Diceros bicornis minor: one gene and its partner. The protein of the gene in region 2 interacts with the protein of the main gene of each other region in a biochemical or structural test. Links are inferred from orthologs where the notes say so. Each region holds a gene or a part of one and is shown on either strand. Other genes may lie near its edges.

Region 1 (7,516 bases), on a different chromosome or scaffold from region 2:
AGATTCTTCCATTAACAAAGATGCTATGGGCTAGAAACACAAGTATGGCATTAGAGTAATTTACTAACCGTAAAAAACTTAAAAACATTATCCTCTCAATTTCATTTCTCCAAATTGAATAAATAACATTATAAAAAGTGGATTCAGAGAGCCTTTACCTCCATTTCCCTAAGGTATGTGTGAATATCCTCATGGTAGTCTGGTACTTCATTAACACTTACTGGCTTTTCATCTTCCAATACAATTGACATGTCCATAGCATGTGGGGACTCTAGGAGAATCCAAAAGTGTGATTAAGTTCACTGTTTAATTTTCTATTTAATTTAATGCTAAAAGTGATTGCCCTTGTAAGGATTCCCATACTATGAAGCATTTACTTCATCCAACTAAAAAGGGCTCCTCAGGACAAAGTACATAGAATATTTCCCTCTGGTTTTAGTACATCTGTCCACTTAGCTTTGGAATGATTTTAGTTAACAAGAAAAAATACCGTTAGGCCACTAACAGGAAAATGAGTTTGAGGATCAGGCATTATGTTCAAGTAGCATTCATCTTCCAGGAGAGAGAGGAGTAGAGGGCACGGTAGTTCTGTTAGGACAAACTTAAAATCGAAGTTTTGAGATAATATCCAGGATTTGCCCCATGAGTTTGCAGACCCCAAATATTCAAAGCACAATCTAGGCAATAACTAGAAGCAAGGCTAACAAGTGTGTTGATGAGAAAATTAGGTTTGTTACTGACAGTTCAAATTAATACTACAATCAACAAGTGATTTATTTTTTGTAATTTTAAATTATCTCTGGAAGCAAAGAATATCATCCATTATTCTTTTTACTTCAAGGTTCACTGACTTAAAATTTGTCGCAAGTTTTAAATAAAAATACACACATTATTTCCAAAGGGACTTGCCTGCTATTCCCAGACCACCTCTCATCAATAGAAGTAAAACTAAAACAAGATTGGATTTAGTGAGCTGACCAGGCACTCCACAGCCCTATGGTGAAGAGGCAGCACAAACTGGGGACACAGCTGTCTACAGCAGCTGCTTTGCTTAATATGTGGTTCAGCGCCAACAGCCACGGTTCAACTGCTGACTCACAGGAGGACAGTGTCCCTCTCTGATATCAGACAATCACGCAGACCAGTTTTACAGAAACAAAATTTTAAAGCTGAAATAGATGTTAGACATCACAATATTTAAAGCTGCATCCTCAAAGAGCATTCTCTGCAGTGGTATGTACAAAGTAAGTCTTATGACTACAACTGAAATCTATTCTCCCAATCAAGCAAACATTTCCAGGGTCAGATTAAAATAAGTGAGATTCAATTAAATTGATGTGATTGGCAGTGTACCAAAAGGAGCACCTGATCAGGCTCTGGGTCCTTTCGTAGGTCATTAGGTCATGTATTAGAAATGAGGCCTAAGTCACACCCTTTCTAAACTTGTTACATTAAACTTAACTCATTATCTAGTAAGGATCAGGTAAGATAATGTCTTAAAATGCAAATTATTGTTAATCCAATCTATTTAATAATTATAATTACATTGATCTGACACAGATGTTCTTTAAAACTTACCAAAACTACCATCCATTGGATAATCAAGAGGTGCCAGTGGTTTTCTTGGTCCAGGCAAAGCAATAGCTGAATTAAAAGCCAGGGCATCTTCACATTCTGTTTTTTTAGATTCACTTGACCTCTTGTGAGTCTCTTCTTCTGCTTCATCCACATGAATGGTAAATGCAGGCTGTTTACTGTTTGCTTTCCAGGGAGGAACAGTGACATGCTCATCATTTATAGGAAGATCTTTAAGAGGTGCAACCTAAAAAGAAATGAATAACTGGCTTTGAGGCTATTTAAATGGAGTTTTGCTTTCTTTTATGGGTCTCAGCCTCCGGTTTTACTCCCAAATACTCTATCAGGAAAATTAAACTTTTTGGGGCAAAGGCAAGGATTTGAGGGATTGAAAAAAGAAGGGATGTTCCAATTTGTCACACGCATTCCCAGGAAGGTTATAGAAAGAGTCATACTAAGTGGAATTATGCAAAACTAATCAAGGCCACAAGATGGGTGGAGCGGCAGGCCGAAAGATGACAAGTTTAGGAGAGAGATGGCAAAAGTGTCGGTTCACCACTTTCGCCCCAGGGTGGAGCAACAGAGCAAATCCGGTAAAATGGCGGAATTTACCAAAAGCAAAGTATTATTATACCCTTTCGTAAAGCAGAGTAATCTCTTAACCATATGGGGAGGAGAAAGGGGGTCTGGGTCCTAGAGCAGCGCCTGGGGTTTAAAAGCAGAGAGGAAGCCGCAGAGTCGTGCAAAGACCACACTCATGTTGTAGGGCTTGGTGTGACCCCATTATCTATAGAAACATACCTCAATAGAGATCAGACAGGCAACATAACGCACAGTGCTAGCAAGGAGAGGAATGGGAGAAACTACCATAGTGGCATCCCACATGCCAGGAAACCAGGGATCAAGGGGACTCCAGACCGAGGCCTCCCTAAAAAAGCCCAGAGGATGCTTTCTCGCCACTCCTCCGCCTGCTAAACCCACGCAGAACTCCTGCTCGGCCCACCCTCCCGCAGATAGATCTCTTTACCCGTCGCGTCTTGGGCCTCTGCTGCGGCGCTGGACCCCGCGCGTTCCCGGCCTTCAGCACCGCCAGCCGGGCCCGGGTCCGGGGCTGCTGGGCGGGCGCCGCCTTCTCGGGGTTGATGTTCTCCTGGTCCTCCAGCAGCGCCGTCTGCTGCAATGTTAGCAGCGCAGAACCCGCCTCGCGGGCCGCAGGCCCGGGCGCGGAGCTGCCCAGCATCACTGCTCCCGGGGGCGCGGCGGGATCAGCCTGCGGCGCCAAGCAGCGTGCACTCCGTCCCGCCGACCGGCCGCGCAGAGGAAGGCTTCAGCCGTGGCCGCCCGCCGCAGCCCGGGCCCGCCTGCGCGCGCGCCCGCTCGGGATCGCGCAGGACCGGAGAAGTTGCGAAAGGCGCAGACAGGCACTGCCGGGCGTGGAAGGCGACAGACGCCCCCGAAAAGAAGCGAGCAGCCCGCCGGAGCGGCGGCTGTTCATGCAGTTCAAGTATCCCGCGACTATTGAAATGGACCAATGAACAGGGCCGCGGCCGGTGACGTCACTAGAGGCGACGCGGTCGCAGGCGAGTGAAGGCGGCCGCGAAGGCTACCGCGTAGGGGCGGGGCGGAGAAACGTCGAACGGCGGCGGGAGGAAGGACGCCTGCGCCGGCCGGGGAGGCGGGGCCTGAGTTTAGGGTGACTTTAAACGGAGCCACTAGGCAGGCTCAGGGCAAGGGCTGGCTCAAGGATAAACTGAATTAACCTGGAGCGATTACTAGTGGGCCGCCCAGCCTTTAGCCCCGGGACCTCCAGTTAGCTTGACGGACTTGCTTCCCATGGTCTAAAATCGGGCCCGGCCACTCGCGGGCCTCGTAGTCTTCAGTGTCTGCGTTCGCAGTCCTCTTATGTCATTGGGAGGAATGCTATCCACACGTCATACGGTTGTCGTTAGGATTAAATAATGTGCAGAAATCACTTAACACGCGGCTCACGTGGTAACAGGTACTCAAGTGGCAGACTATAAGGTCATCTTAGTATTTAGGGGTTTCTTTAGTCTTATGCTTGTTATTTTTCCTAATGAAGATGCAATTAATTTAAGGTGCCACCTTGAACTACTTTTGATATATATCACAAATAGGAATGTACTACAAGAAATTCAACTAGACAGCCATTAATTTTTATCTATTTTTCCCCAAGCTGTGGCAGCCAACACAAAGCACCCAGTGAAATTCTGGTGACCTAGATATAATTATGTGTTCCATTTAGAAATGAAGGTTGTTTAAATACAGTAAAAACAATAAGACCTTATTAAAATAAAACTCTTAGCAATATGTGCCTTCAACAAATTTTCACATTTAATATACAACAAAGCTTGCAGATAACTAATAAATATAATGGTATATAATTAATAAGCATTATTGTTTTCTGACAAATTCATGCGTGTGCCCTTCTTGAAAACAGAAAGAATAGCTTATTTTCCATTATAATCTTTATGGCATTTTAAAACAACCTTTAAATACAATATTCCCCTGAATGTGAATAAAGATGAAGATTAATGAACAAAAGTCCCATACTCTTAAAGTCATATTTCCCTCCATATATGATAAAAAGGAAATTAGTGGATACCAGTGCAGGAAAATCTAAGAAGCCATCACTATTATTCACATGTAGTAGACTTATATAGCTCTACTGGGTACACGACATCAAGTTAAGATCCCCCCAATCTGTGCAAACTCTGCTTATTTCCCTGGGCACAATTTATAGCACTGAGCCAACTCAAGCATTTCATACACTGAGTATGAGTCAAAAAATATTACCAAGCAAGATCGAAATCAGTTCTAAATCAATCTCAACTCCTAGAAAAAATAATTGGTAGGTTACTTCTACTGGATGACAACATACATAGTAAGCAGGCACAAACCAGGCACCAGAACTTAGGTTCTGGTCCCAGCTTTACAAAATAATAGCATGTCCTCTTAATCACTTAAACTCACTGAGAATCAGTTTTCCTATATGATTTGACAAAATAATAATAATAAATATACGTTGTGAAGATCAAATGAGGTAACATATGCAAATACATTTTGAAACCTTTACAGTTTATATATGTGTGTAGCCTGTTAAATATTTGAATATATTTTTATTTTCCAAATATTATTTCTCAATTTAAAAGTTAAAACATCCACTTGCAAAATATCCACTAAAATCTCTTATAATCATTCCGGTTTTTTTTTTAAATTCTCTTTATTTTTAAAAAGCTCCATTTGTCAAAAGAAATAGATGCATTACTAAATATCTCAAATATTTTTAGATGATATTACACAGCATCTGAAATAAAAGTGGGTACAGTTAGCTTGTAATTCTGTTTTAACATTTTTCATTTAAACAGACTTCTTTGAAACTTTACCTTGTTTACATTTCATGCAGCATCAAAGATACATTTCATGCAGCATCAAAGAAAGCAATTAAGGCATTTTGGTCATAACTGTCCAGAATCTCCAGTAAAAGAGGTACTTTGGTTTTTACATTGGTGCCTTTGAATTTGAACTTATCTATGAAAAGATCAGTGATCATGCCTACAAAGAAAAACATTAGTTCTAATTAAGACACAGTGTTTAATGAAAGTAATTGCTTGAGAATCGATTTCTAAGCACCTGTAATTCCATTATTTAATATACACAAACCCCAAAAGACTGATGCTTAAAAAATATTTATTTTGGGGCGATTTTAAGACAAGTTTCAAAATATAAATCATTTGGCTAATAATCCTCTTAACAACTGGTTACAAGCTATTAATTTAGACAATCAACTGCTGACCAGTTTTGAACTGCTACTGGTATATATAACATCACAACAAGCAGTTTATTTTTCCTACCAAGCTGACCATTTTGACATAGTGTAGACAGATTCTATCCCTAACAGCTTTATTTGAATTAAAGTATTACATTACATAGTGACCATTCTTGGGATTTGACTTGAAGGCAAATATTCCTAGGTTCCTCTTGCTCTCACTCTTTTTTCAATACAATTTGTGAAACACCTAACTTCTCACCACCAAAGCAAAATGAGTTTTGAACTGTAAACTGACACAGCCCATACACATATCCCTTATTAAATTTTGCCTAAAAAATATTAAATGCTGCAATTTGATATTTCACAATAGCAACAAAACCTGAAAATTATTTGTGTGAAATATAGCCTAAATTTTAATGCTTCATAGGTAATATTCATTTCACACCCGGTTTCTTCATATATATAGATTAATTATTGCATTACACTTATTTCACTTCTTAATTTTTACTTGCATTTTATCAAGAATATTAAATATTAAAACTAACTTGACAAAATAAATATTTGGTGCAATAAATTGGTTGTCACTGGTTCATGACTGCTATAATCTCTGCCTGTCTCCTTCTGCCCAGCTTCTCTCACATGATCCTTCGCAAATAGCCAGTAGAAAAGAAATATGGCAAGGTATTCTAGAATGTCCACTAACCATAGAGTCTTTCAAGATGTGCAGGTTGCTTTTTGTATTCTTCCTGGAGATGATCTGCCTCTTCTAGAATACAGCGATATTCTGGTATCAGAAAGTTTGTATTTCCCTCATGAACCTGCAATTCCTTATTTAAATTTAAAACAGAAGCACCTTAATGTTCAAAATTCAATCCAGTGTAGCTTTAAAGTCTTTACAATTTTAGAAATCTCATTACAATAAAATAATGATCATGAGTCCATGACACATTTACTTACTTTTAAAGCATCAATTAACTGCACTTTCTTAGCCAAAAGCAGCTGGTACTCCAGCTTTGGGTGGATTAGCTTTAAAGTGTGCTTGACTGAGACTTCATTTATTTCTAGAAGGAGTTGAGCCAAGCACAATTAGGTAAGTCACTTTGATCAGAAACACTCTTATTGTAACGACAACAACCAAAAAAACCCCAGAAAGAATGATTCATTTTTCTTTCTTTCTTTTTTTTTTTTACCGTATGATATGTTGAGGTTAATTTTCCTTTTTGTAGCTTCTTTAGACAGCACATCTTTTAGGATGGATATAGCAGAAATGTTGTCAGATTTAAAAACTCCTTCTCCTTTTCTATAAAATTAATATATTTTTTAAAAGAAAAGCTTTAGAAGAAAATACATCAGTAAATATGTCCAGTAAATACATATTTTGTGACTAGAACCTAGTGTTTAGATTTCATTTGATTTTAGATTTCTTTATATACATATCTTATTAATATAAAGAATATTTAAATACTGTTATATTACCGTTATATTAATTCGAGTTCTGAACATACTTGTAAAACTAAACAAAACTTGTCAGATATACGTCTCCTAAAGATATGACAATTTATAAGTCTTTCATTTAAAACAACTTTTTTTCATTTTCTCTAATAAAACTTCCAATAGCTAACCCCTTATGTATATAAAATGCATTCAGAATTGCTTACTTACATATATGTTTTTCTTTGATATAATCACATAAATTACAGCGTGACTATGTGTTTCATCCTTAAAAGAAAGCTGATATCAAACCTAAGAGTAACATCATCTGTTCTTCCATTGCCACTTCTTCTGGTCACAGGACCCTTCCTTCTCTTCAGGGAACCACTCCTCTCTCTCACCCTTCTCAATCCATATGGTTTTACTGGCATTGGCCTCAGTCCCGTCTCTGGGACCTCAGGAGGAACCATTTAGCAGTGTATTCCATACCCCTGACCACAGCAGTCCATGGCTTGACAATGATACTCAATCCTGGACTTTTACTGGAACTAGTGAGAGAGAGGCTCTATGGTAGCTGAAGAATAAGTAGAGTTTCGACTGTTAAGAAAAGAATATTTAAGGACACAGAAGGGGAAAGTGTAAAAGTGTGCTATTATAAAAATATATAATATGTCAGAGGCATATCAAAATTGTCTGCTATAATTAAAGTGTGAGGTTCAC
Region 2 (8,048 bases):
ACTGGGTTTACGTATTGAGTGTTATGTGCCAGGCAGCACGCTAAGAGCTTTACGTGTGCTCTGTCATCTAATCTTCACAGCAGCCCATGAAGTGAGTATTATCACTCCATTTCACAAAGAAACTAAGGCACACAGAACTCAAATAACTTGCCAATGTTGATAAACAGCAGAATAGTGATTCAAACCCAGATTTGTCTGAATTCACCACAATCCTTCGCTGCCTTTTTAATTAACCAACTCCTGATGCAGATTCCCAGACCATAACTTGAAGGTTCTTTTTCCTAATGAAAAGGTCAAAAACCAAAAAAACCCCAGATTTTTTTAAAGCAAAGCAAGCAACCAACCAACCAATCAACGCTTCTGCAAAAGAAGCCAAATGGGAAGAATTTAGGAATATACTTATTTATGTTGGATCTGCAAGACTTCATCTTTATTTCTTTAATCTCTTTTTCTCCATTGCCCACCCAATTTCAGTTTAGACTTATCACCTCTACTCAGACACTTTCAATAGCCTCCTAATTCTGTTGACTCTAATGTCAGAATCTATCCAGAATCTGACCAGTTTATCACCAAGCCCATACCTCTTAACAAGTCTCTAAACTTCTACCTTCAACCCTCTACATTTTAATCTCAACACATGAATGTGTCCTTTTAAAAGGTCACATCACAACTCTGCTCACCACCACCTCTAGCCTGATCTCCCACTACTCTCCCTTCCCTCCCTCCACTCTGGGAGTATGGCTTGCCTGTTGTTCCTTCAACAAACATGACACGCTTCTGCCCCAGGGTCTTTGCACTGGCTGGTCCCTCTGCTTGCTGCTCTCTTCTCCAAGGTATTTGCATAGCACAGTCCCTCACCTCCTTTATGCCTGTGCTTAAAGCTCACTGTCTAAGTGAAGCTTTCCTTCAATACCCTGCTCAAAATTGCAATCCATCTTCCCACTCTAGTCCTTCCAATCTCTCTTGGCTTGTTCTATTTTTGTTTTTAGCTATAGCACTTATCACCTTCTAACATACTACCTACCATATTTATTATGTTTATTGTGTCCTCTCTCTAGAACAGAAGCTGCACGAGCATAGGAATGTTTATGTTTTGCTCACTGCTGTATCCCCAGCACCTAGAACAATGCCTAGCACATAGCATGTTGTCAGCAAATATTTGCTGAATTAGTGTTTTAAATGACTTACTAGCAAGAAAAACTGATAACCCCAGGTCAATGCACTATGTTTACCCTATGACTGAGTACTCTTGGGGTTCTCTGGGAGACACTCTGGGAGGCACTCTCTCACCTGCCGAGAAGACTGGGAATGGGGAGCTATTAAGAGGGGAATGATATAGTGAGTTCTACATTTCAACCAGTCCACTCTAACTCTGGGGATGGATCTGGGGAGGATAAGGCTAGAATTCTGAGTCCATTCCAATAGTTCAGGCAAGAGATGATGAAAGCTTGAGAATATTTCTGAGACAAGAGGGAAAGATTCAATGATTGGCTGGATGTCAGGGGATGGTGGGAATCTGAGTGACCCTCAGATTGTTGGGTTGGGTTGGGTTTAATGCTGGCAGTAATGGAGACAGGGCATGCCAGAGGAAGCCCATTTGAGAGTGTACTTGGGGAGATAAGTCTCCTCCACTTGTGTTTAACTTTCACTTTAGCAGTTCTTAGACAAATAACTAAAGTGATTATAGCAAAAAGCTCAACCAGGGCTATAGAGCAGCAGAATATAAACAAAAAGAATCCTACAAGAAGATCTTTGCTTATGTTCCCATTTATCAGTGGCACTGAGCTGGCTTTTGAGCAGGCAGATTCCCTTCTAAGGAAAAAGGCAGGAATGTCTTCTCATGGGTTAAAATTTCACATGGATCAAAAGTCAATTGTGCATTAGAAGATATGTTCCTACCAATATTCCTGTAGACTTCAACGACAATGAGTTGTCTCATTTCTTTGGAAAATAGCTTTAGAATTAGGCAATTTTAAAAGGGCCCCATTCTAAAGATCCCTGAACAAATCTCCATTTTGCACAACAAACTAGTTCAACACACCCTTTGGGTGATTGACAGTTTTACCCTCATACATTACCTGGAAAGTTATCTCGATTTAGCTTAGGTCTGCGAACGATCACAAAGTCCTTGTCATTCCCTTTGCTCTTCAGCCGTTTTCGTGGCGGGCTCTGCGGATGACTCAGGTTTGAGAGCAGTTCCTGGGGGATGTTCTCACTATCCACCTCCTCCTTCTCCAGGGCGGAGACCCCCATGCCTGACAGCAGTTCACAAGTCTTGCTAGAATCCCATCCCCACGTGAAACTGGTGGTAACGTTGCTACTCTGGTCGGGAATCTCCTGGAGGTGTTTCCTGCAAAGATGCACAATAGCCACCCCGCTTCTTTCTACAACACACCCGTAAATAATTCCAAGGTAGGCCTAAACGGAATTGCCAGTTACGCATTGTAGAAAACTTTCACAATAGCTAACAGAATTGCATTTTTTACGTGATGGTAGCGAGTTCCCAAGAATGAAAGAGAAAATAACCAAACAAATCGAAAAGGCTCTTTGATTTACGATCATGCAGAAGGCCTCAAGAATTTCTTAAAGTCGAGAGAACAGACAAGGAAAGAAAGAGGGCAATCACACAGTGATTGAAAACAGTAGCAGGGAAGCCCAATAAGGGGAGCCTAATAAAACCGCACGCTGATCACCGCACTAAAGCTTCCATCCATTCGCGCTTTCCCAAAGAAGCGGCTAAGCAATCATTCGCATTGCAGCATTAGTAACAATATTGCAAGTAGCAATATCCGCGGCCTAAATGAATTAAGAAGGTCCATTCATGTTCTGCCCCATTTTGCAATCAGTTTACCTGTGCATGGCGTCTACAGGTTCGGGAGTTTTAAATGCGTGCATTGACTGCAGAGCTGCCCGCCTCCCGGATTCCCGCTTTGGCGCGCGGCGGCTCACAGCGTGCTGCTGCAGCGTGCAGCAGCAAGACCCGCGAACTCTAGCAACGTTCCATCCCCGCCGCGCGCGCAGAGCTCTTCTGCCCGCTCTCCTCCGCAGCCGCCGTCTGCGGCCCCCTGCCTGCTGGGAATTGTAGTTTCTGCCCTGCCCCGTAGTCCGCCTGGCTCGCCACTACTCTCTTTCCTTGCAGCTTTGCCCGCCCTCGCGATACCCACAACCCCCCGCGGCTGAGGGGCTGCAGAGCCCACGGAGTAGGCGGGGAAGCGGAAGTGGGCGGTGCTTCGGCTGACTGAGAAATGTCAGCTGCTTGACTGGGGCCGGGTTTTCCTTTCCCGCGAACCCGCAGGCCTTCTGGTGACCGCCACCGCTGTCGCCTCGGCGCGTGGGTCCCAGACCCTGGACGGCTGTGGCGGACGCGGAGTTTCCTGGGCCTTCCAGACGCTGTCTGGCGAGATCGGACGGTGGGCCTGAGGGAGAGAGCGTGAGGCGCTTTGGGTCTGGGGCCGCGCGCAGACGGACATCGAGAGGACCCTGGAGACCCCGGTTGGCCGCCGCCGCGGGGCCCACGTTCCCGGAAGCTGAGTGGAGGCGGTAGCCCGGCCCACCGGCCAGGTGAGAGGCTGCGAGCCCGGGGCGTCACAGCTGTTCTCCCCTCTCCCAGGAAGCTGCCTCCTCCACGGAGGAGAGGGCGGCCCTTAGGACCGGGTCTGTGGGCAGGATCCTTTGCTCACCTGTAAACTAGGCACTGCAACGACGACGCTCGTCTCCCAGGCTTGGAAAGAGGGGCGGATAAGATAACGCGTTTTGTAAACTAAAGCGCAGTTCGAACGAGAGGCGGTGGTTTAGTTTTAGGGGAGCAGGAGACCATAGTGGCTCCTGTGTGCAGTGGGAAAGCTGCGCATCCCCTGGCAGCCTTGACTAGTCTTATAAGGGCTAGCGTGGGAACAAATCAGGTGACTATATGTTTGCAAAGGGCTTGACAATGCAACGCTGCGAGCCACCAGCAAAGCCATTCGGCTGCGCTTGCTCAACCGGTTGTGTCTGGGGTTGCGTCGCCGCCGTCAAGACAGCTGCTTTTAGCCTATCTCTGCGGAGAAGAGTTGGGGGGCGCTTAGAGTAGGGAGCGTGCCATATTCCAGGTAGGATGACCATGCGAAATCCGTTGTGCAAACTGTACTGTTAACTGTGAACCCGGGAGAACAGTGGAAGAGGGAAGGGGAATAAATTCCGACCCTAAGGAAAATGGAGAGGATTTAAAAAGTTCAGAAGCAAGCAGGCCAGCCTCATCTCAAAAATAGTAGGTCACTATGCTGTGTGACACACTTTATTTAAAGAAGTGATTCTTAGTTGTTTTAAAAAAAGGATTCATTTCTTTAAAAAACATGAATTAAACCTCCTTTGCCCACGTCTGTGCTTGTTTCAAGGTTGGTGCTTAGCTTGAAAAGTAACCACTTCTTAAGAGAGGAAAGTATTCATGAAGCTTCAAGTTGTTCTTGAAAGTAGGTGGAATTGGTGTAAAAAGGGGATCTGGTCACAAAGTGATTTTGGTTGAAACTAGGTAAAGAATACTATGTAGAATGTTCACAAACCATTAAACTAATAGTGTATGGAAAATATTTTTAAATGCAGTATTCTGATTTTTTACATAAAGTCAGTTTTATGTTACTTTGGCTAAGGAGAAAGCAGTGGCCTTCCTTTGAAATCTACATCTTTTCCCTTAAAATTGCAACTCATTAGAGAAAATATATACATATATTTTTTTTGGTGAGGAAGATTGGCCCTGAGCTAACACCTGTTGCCAGTCCTCCTCTTTCTGCTTGAGAAAGATTGGCCCAGACCTAACATCTGTGGCAGTCTGGCTCTATTTTGTATGTGGGTCATGGCCACAGCATGGCTTTCGTGAGTGATGTAGGTCCGCGCCTGGGATCTGAACCCACGAACCCCAGGCCACTGAATTGGAGCTTAACCTGGAACTTAACCACTATGCCATGGGGCCAGCCACTAGAGAAGGTATTTTTAGCAATAAAAGTTATAGTCTCCTTCAGGAAAGTGAACAAGACAGAGGAAGCTTGTAAGTAAGGGAGGAGAAAGAATAAACAAGGAAAAAAGTATTTAAAATGCCATGATGAGAATAAACAAAGTTTTGAGATATAAAGTAATTTGGCAAGGCCACTTTAGATACAGATCTCATAGATAGAAGGTCTAAGAGATGGGATGATTCTAAATTTAAAGATGAGAAGTATCCTGTTCAGTCTGGGACTTAGCTAGTAGTTGCTTGAGAGCTAGGGAACATTTCTAGTTCACAGAATACTTGCAGTATCTGAATTGGTGGACACCAGATCCTCTGTAGGACTTCAGAGAGAGCCTTTCAACTCTGCAAATCGAAGTCTTCTAATACTAGAATAGATATTTGACTAACACTTTGCACTCACAAGAGAAACGCTGTAGCTTGCTAATATGGGCATAATTTTTTTCTGCATTCCTTCTAATCATGGCTGTTCTCCTAATATAGTAAATAAAAGTTTAATTTGGTATATGTGGTTCTGTTTAATGTAAGGAATTGTGTCCATTGAAGACTTGAGATTACTAGGTCACTAGAGATTGCTGCCTGGTCTCTTCAGGAACTGCATCGTGATTGCTACTGATGTGGATTTTTTTTATTTTCCTGATTAATTTCATTTGTTTGATCTTAGCACACCCCATGTCCCATTTTAGTAAAAGAGGTATACCATAGTTCTAGAAGTAGAATTACTAGATCAGTATCTACAACAAATGAATTATAGTTTTTTTTTTTTAATATCTGCAAATGACTGTGGGATGAGTTATTTCTAGTACTCATTGGAAGCTTCAGATAGAATACTAAGTGACTTTGTAAATTGAGAAAGTTATACAAAGGGGCAAAAGCATAGTTACAAGGGCACAGGAGGGGCCAAAAAGGCCTGGAAATGATATTTGACTATAAGCTATAGTCAAATATATATATATGTATATATAAGCCATATATATACAGTAGTATATTAGTGATCTTTTTGAAAATCAGTAAAACAAAAGAGATTCTATTTAAATAGAAGGGTGATGTGCTTTTTCTTTACTTCCTGAATCATAGCATGAAGTAAATCTTAAAATTCTTTTCTTTTTTTTTTTCTGTGTTATTTAGCTTAGGGGAACAAAAGACTAAGAACAATTACATAGCAAGAAGTTTCTATCTGCCAATCAGATTTCAAAAGAGTTATTTTCCCTTGATTAATTTTAAAGTAGACCTTTAGTTCTCTGCAGTTTAGTGCTCTCTCTGATGGACAGATTAGGGCAAGAACAGAAGGGTTCTTCCCCAGTTCTAATTTGCTCTTTTTACTTTTCCCATGTAGATTAGAGTTATATATTACCCTTAGTAATGGCAGTATTACTTGCAAGGTAAAAAGGCTTAGTTAAATTCTATATTAAACATGACTTTCTTAGCATTCTATCTTCATATATCTAAAGGAATAATAGGAGAATTTCTAATTTGTTCACTATGAAAACTGAACAAAAATGATTTAAATAATTTAAATTGCATTAAAAAAGTATGTTTGGACTGGGGAAGAGACCGTGTAGTATCCTAATTGTGAGCCAGGCTCTGTAGTCAGGATGCCTCGGTTTGAATCCCAGCTTTGCCACTCACCATCTGTGGGAACGTGGACAAATTACTTACCCTCTCTGTGCCGTTTTCTCTGCTATTAAACAAGGATACTAACACTCCTTTCTTACTGGGTTGTGAGGTCTAATTCAACAAAGTGTGTTAAGTGCTAGCACAATGGTTGGAATTTAGTAAACTCACGCTAAATGATAGCTATTCCTTTTTAAAAAATTATTTTGTTATTAGGAAGGACTCAGAGTATTCTACAGTTTCCAAAATAAGTCTTACAATGTCTATACCAGAATTCATTACAAATCCGGTTGTTTTCTTCTTACCTGCTTACATGGTTGCTACCTCCTCTCTCATACCTTGGCAAAGGTGAAACAGTTGATATTTGTCTATCTTCCAAATGGCTTATCATGCTTTGGAATTCAGTTCACCTGGTTGGTTTGCCACCTCAGCTTATTTTTTGAAGATAGCTTCAAGAAATATGACTTTTTCCCATTTTTAGAGTGGGAGCAATATTCTCTTCTGGTATTCTGTCTACATCCTAAGCTGAATTCTCTCTATCCCTGGAGTCTTTAAACATAAGAATAATGACTATCTTCGGAAGATTTATATTTTGATTGGTGGTAGAGAATTGTTGACTTTCATCACTCACGTCTAGTTCAGATTCTTTTGATTTTTCATTAGCAGGATCTTGAGTTGTCTCCTAGTTTTTGTTACTTTATGTATCTGAGTAAAGATACATGTTTAAGTTAACATAATCTGAGTCTGATGAATCATTAGGTTTTAGTCAGATAGTCTGACTGACAGTCAAATTTTTCATTCAGTTTCAGGATCTTTGGTTTTAACAAAATTTTTGTGTGTGTTTTCCTGTTCATTTATTATGAATTCTTCCTTCCTTCCTGTCTCTCTTTCCCTCAGGAAACAGTACTCCAAGTCAGTATCATTAACAAGCTAATTATGAAAGGAATTTGAAGGTAATATTGTATAATATATTGATTATTGGTAGAACACTGAATTGGATTTTAAGTGTTTAGGACTTTCAGAACTGGTATTTTGAGAGGTAGACTATGTCCGCATATTAGATGTTAAAATTCGATTGAATGAAAGAATTGGCATTTTGATTTTGAGTAAAATCTACTTTTGCTGCTGTGGTGTTAATGCCAACCCATGACAGCTTTAAGTCTCTTTTTCATTTCTTATCACATGGAACTGAATTTTGATTTGCCTCAAATTTTAGTATATTCTTCTTGTTTTCCATTTAGCCTAAACACATTATTTTAATATTTAAAGAATATTATTAGAAGGACCATTGTTGTGCTCAGAGGCCTATTTCCCCTTTTGCCCTTCAGTAGTTTTTTTGCACAGCTGCACATGGTTACAGTTCAGCATATAATCTGGAGTAGTCTGCCTCCATTTTGATCATGTGCCTAGAAGGATGGTATTGTCTTTCTATATGACATTGGTACGTCAAATGCAC

What was found.
Region 1: the proteins of SKP2 (region 2) and CCNA2 are reported together in a solved structure, tested with the Homo sapiens proteins (2 studies listed by BioGRID, with this or other methods). The link is inferred for Diceros bicornis minor from reciprocal best matches to the Homo sapiens genes SKP2 and CCNA2.

What each region holds. Positions count from the first base shown.
Region 1 is NC_080750.1:15,146,723-15,154,238, forward strand, and holds the start of CCNA2 (cyclin-A2), read right to left. Parts: upstream 3,078-7,516; 5' UTR 2,816-3,077; coding exon 2,603-2,815; intron 1,823-2,602; coding exon 1,579-1,822; intron 272-1,578; coding exon 159-271; intron 1-158. Other genes in the region: BBS7 (Bardet-Biedl syndrome 7 protein), read right to left, coding at 5,015-5,148, 6,069-6,192, 6,323-6,426, 6,556-6,665. UniProt on the Homo sapiens protein: Cyclin which controls both the G1/S and the G2/M transition phases of the cell cycle. Functions through the formation of specific serine/threonine protein kinase holoenzyme complexes with the cyclin-dependent protein kinases CDK1 or CDK2.
Region 2 is NC_080759.1:32,941,684-32,949,731, forward strand, and holds the start of SKP2 (S-phase kinase-associated protein 2), read right to left. Parts: upstream 3,021-8,048; 5' UTR 2,896-3,020; coding exon 2,852-2,895; intron 2,351-2,851; coding exon 2,079-2,350; intron 1-2,078. UniProt on the Homo sapiens protein: Substrate recognition component of a SCF (SKP1-CUL1-F-box protein) E3 ubiquitin-protein ligase complex which mediates the ubiquitination and subsequent proteasomal degradation of target proteins involved in cell cycle progression, signal transduction and transcription.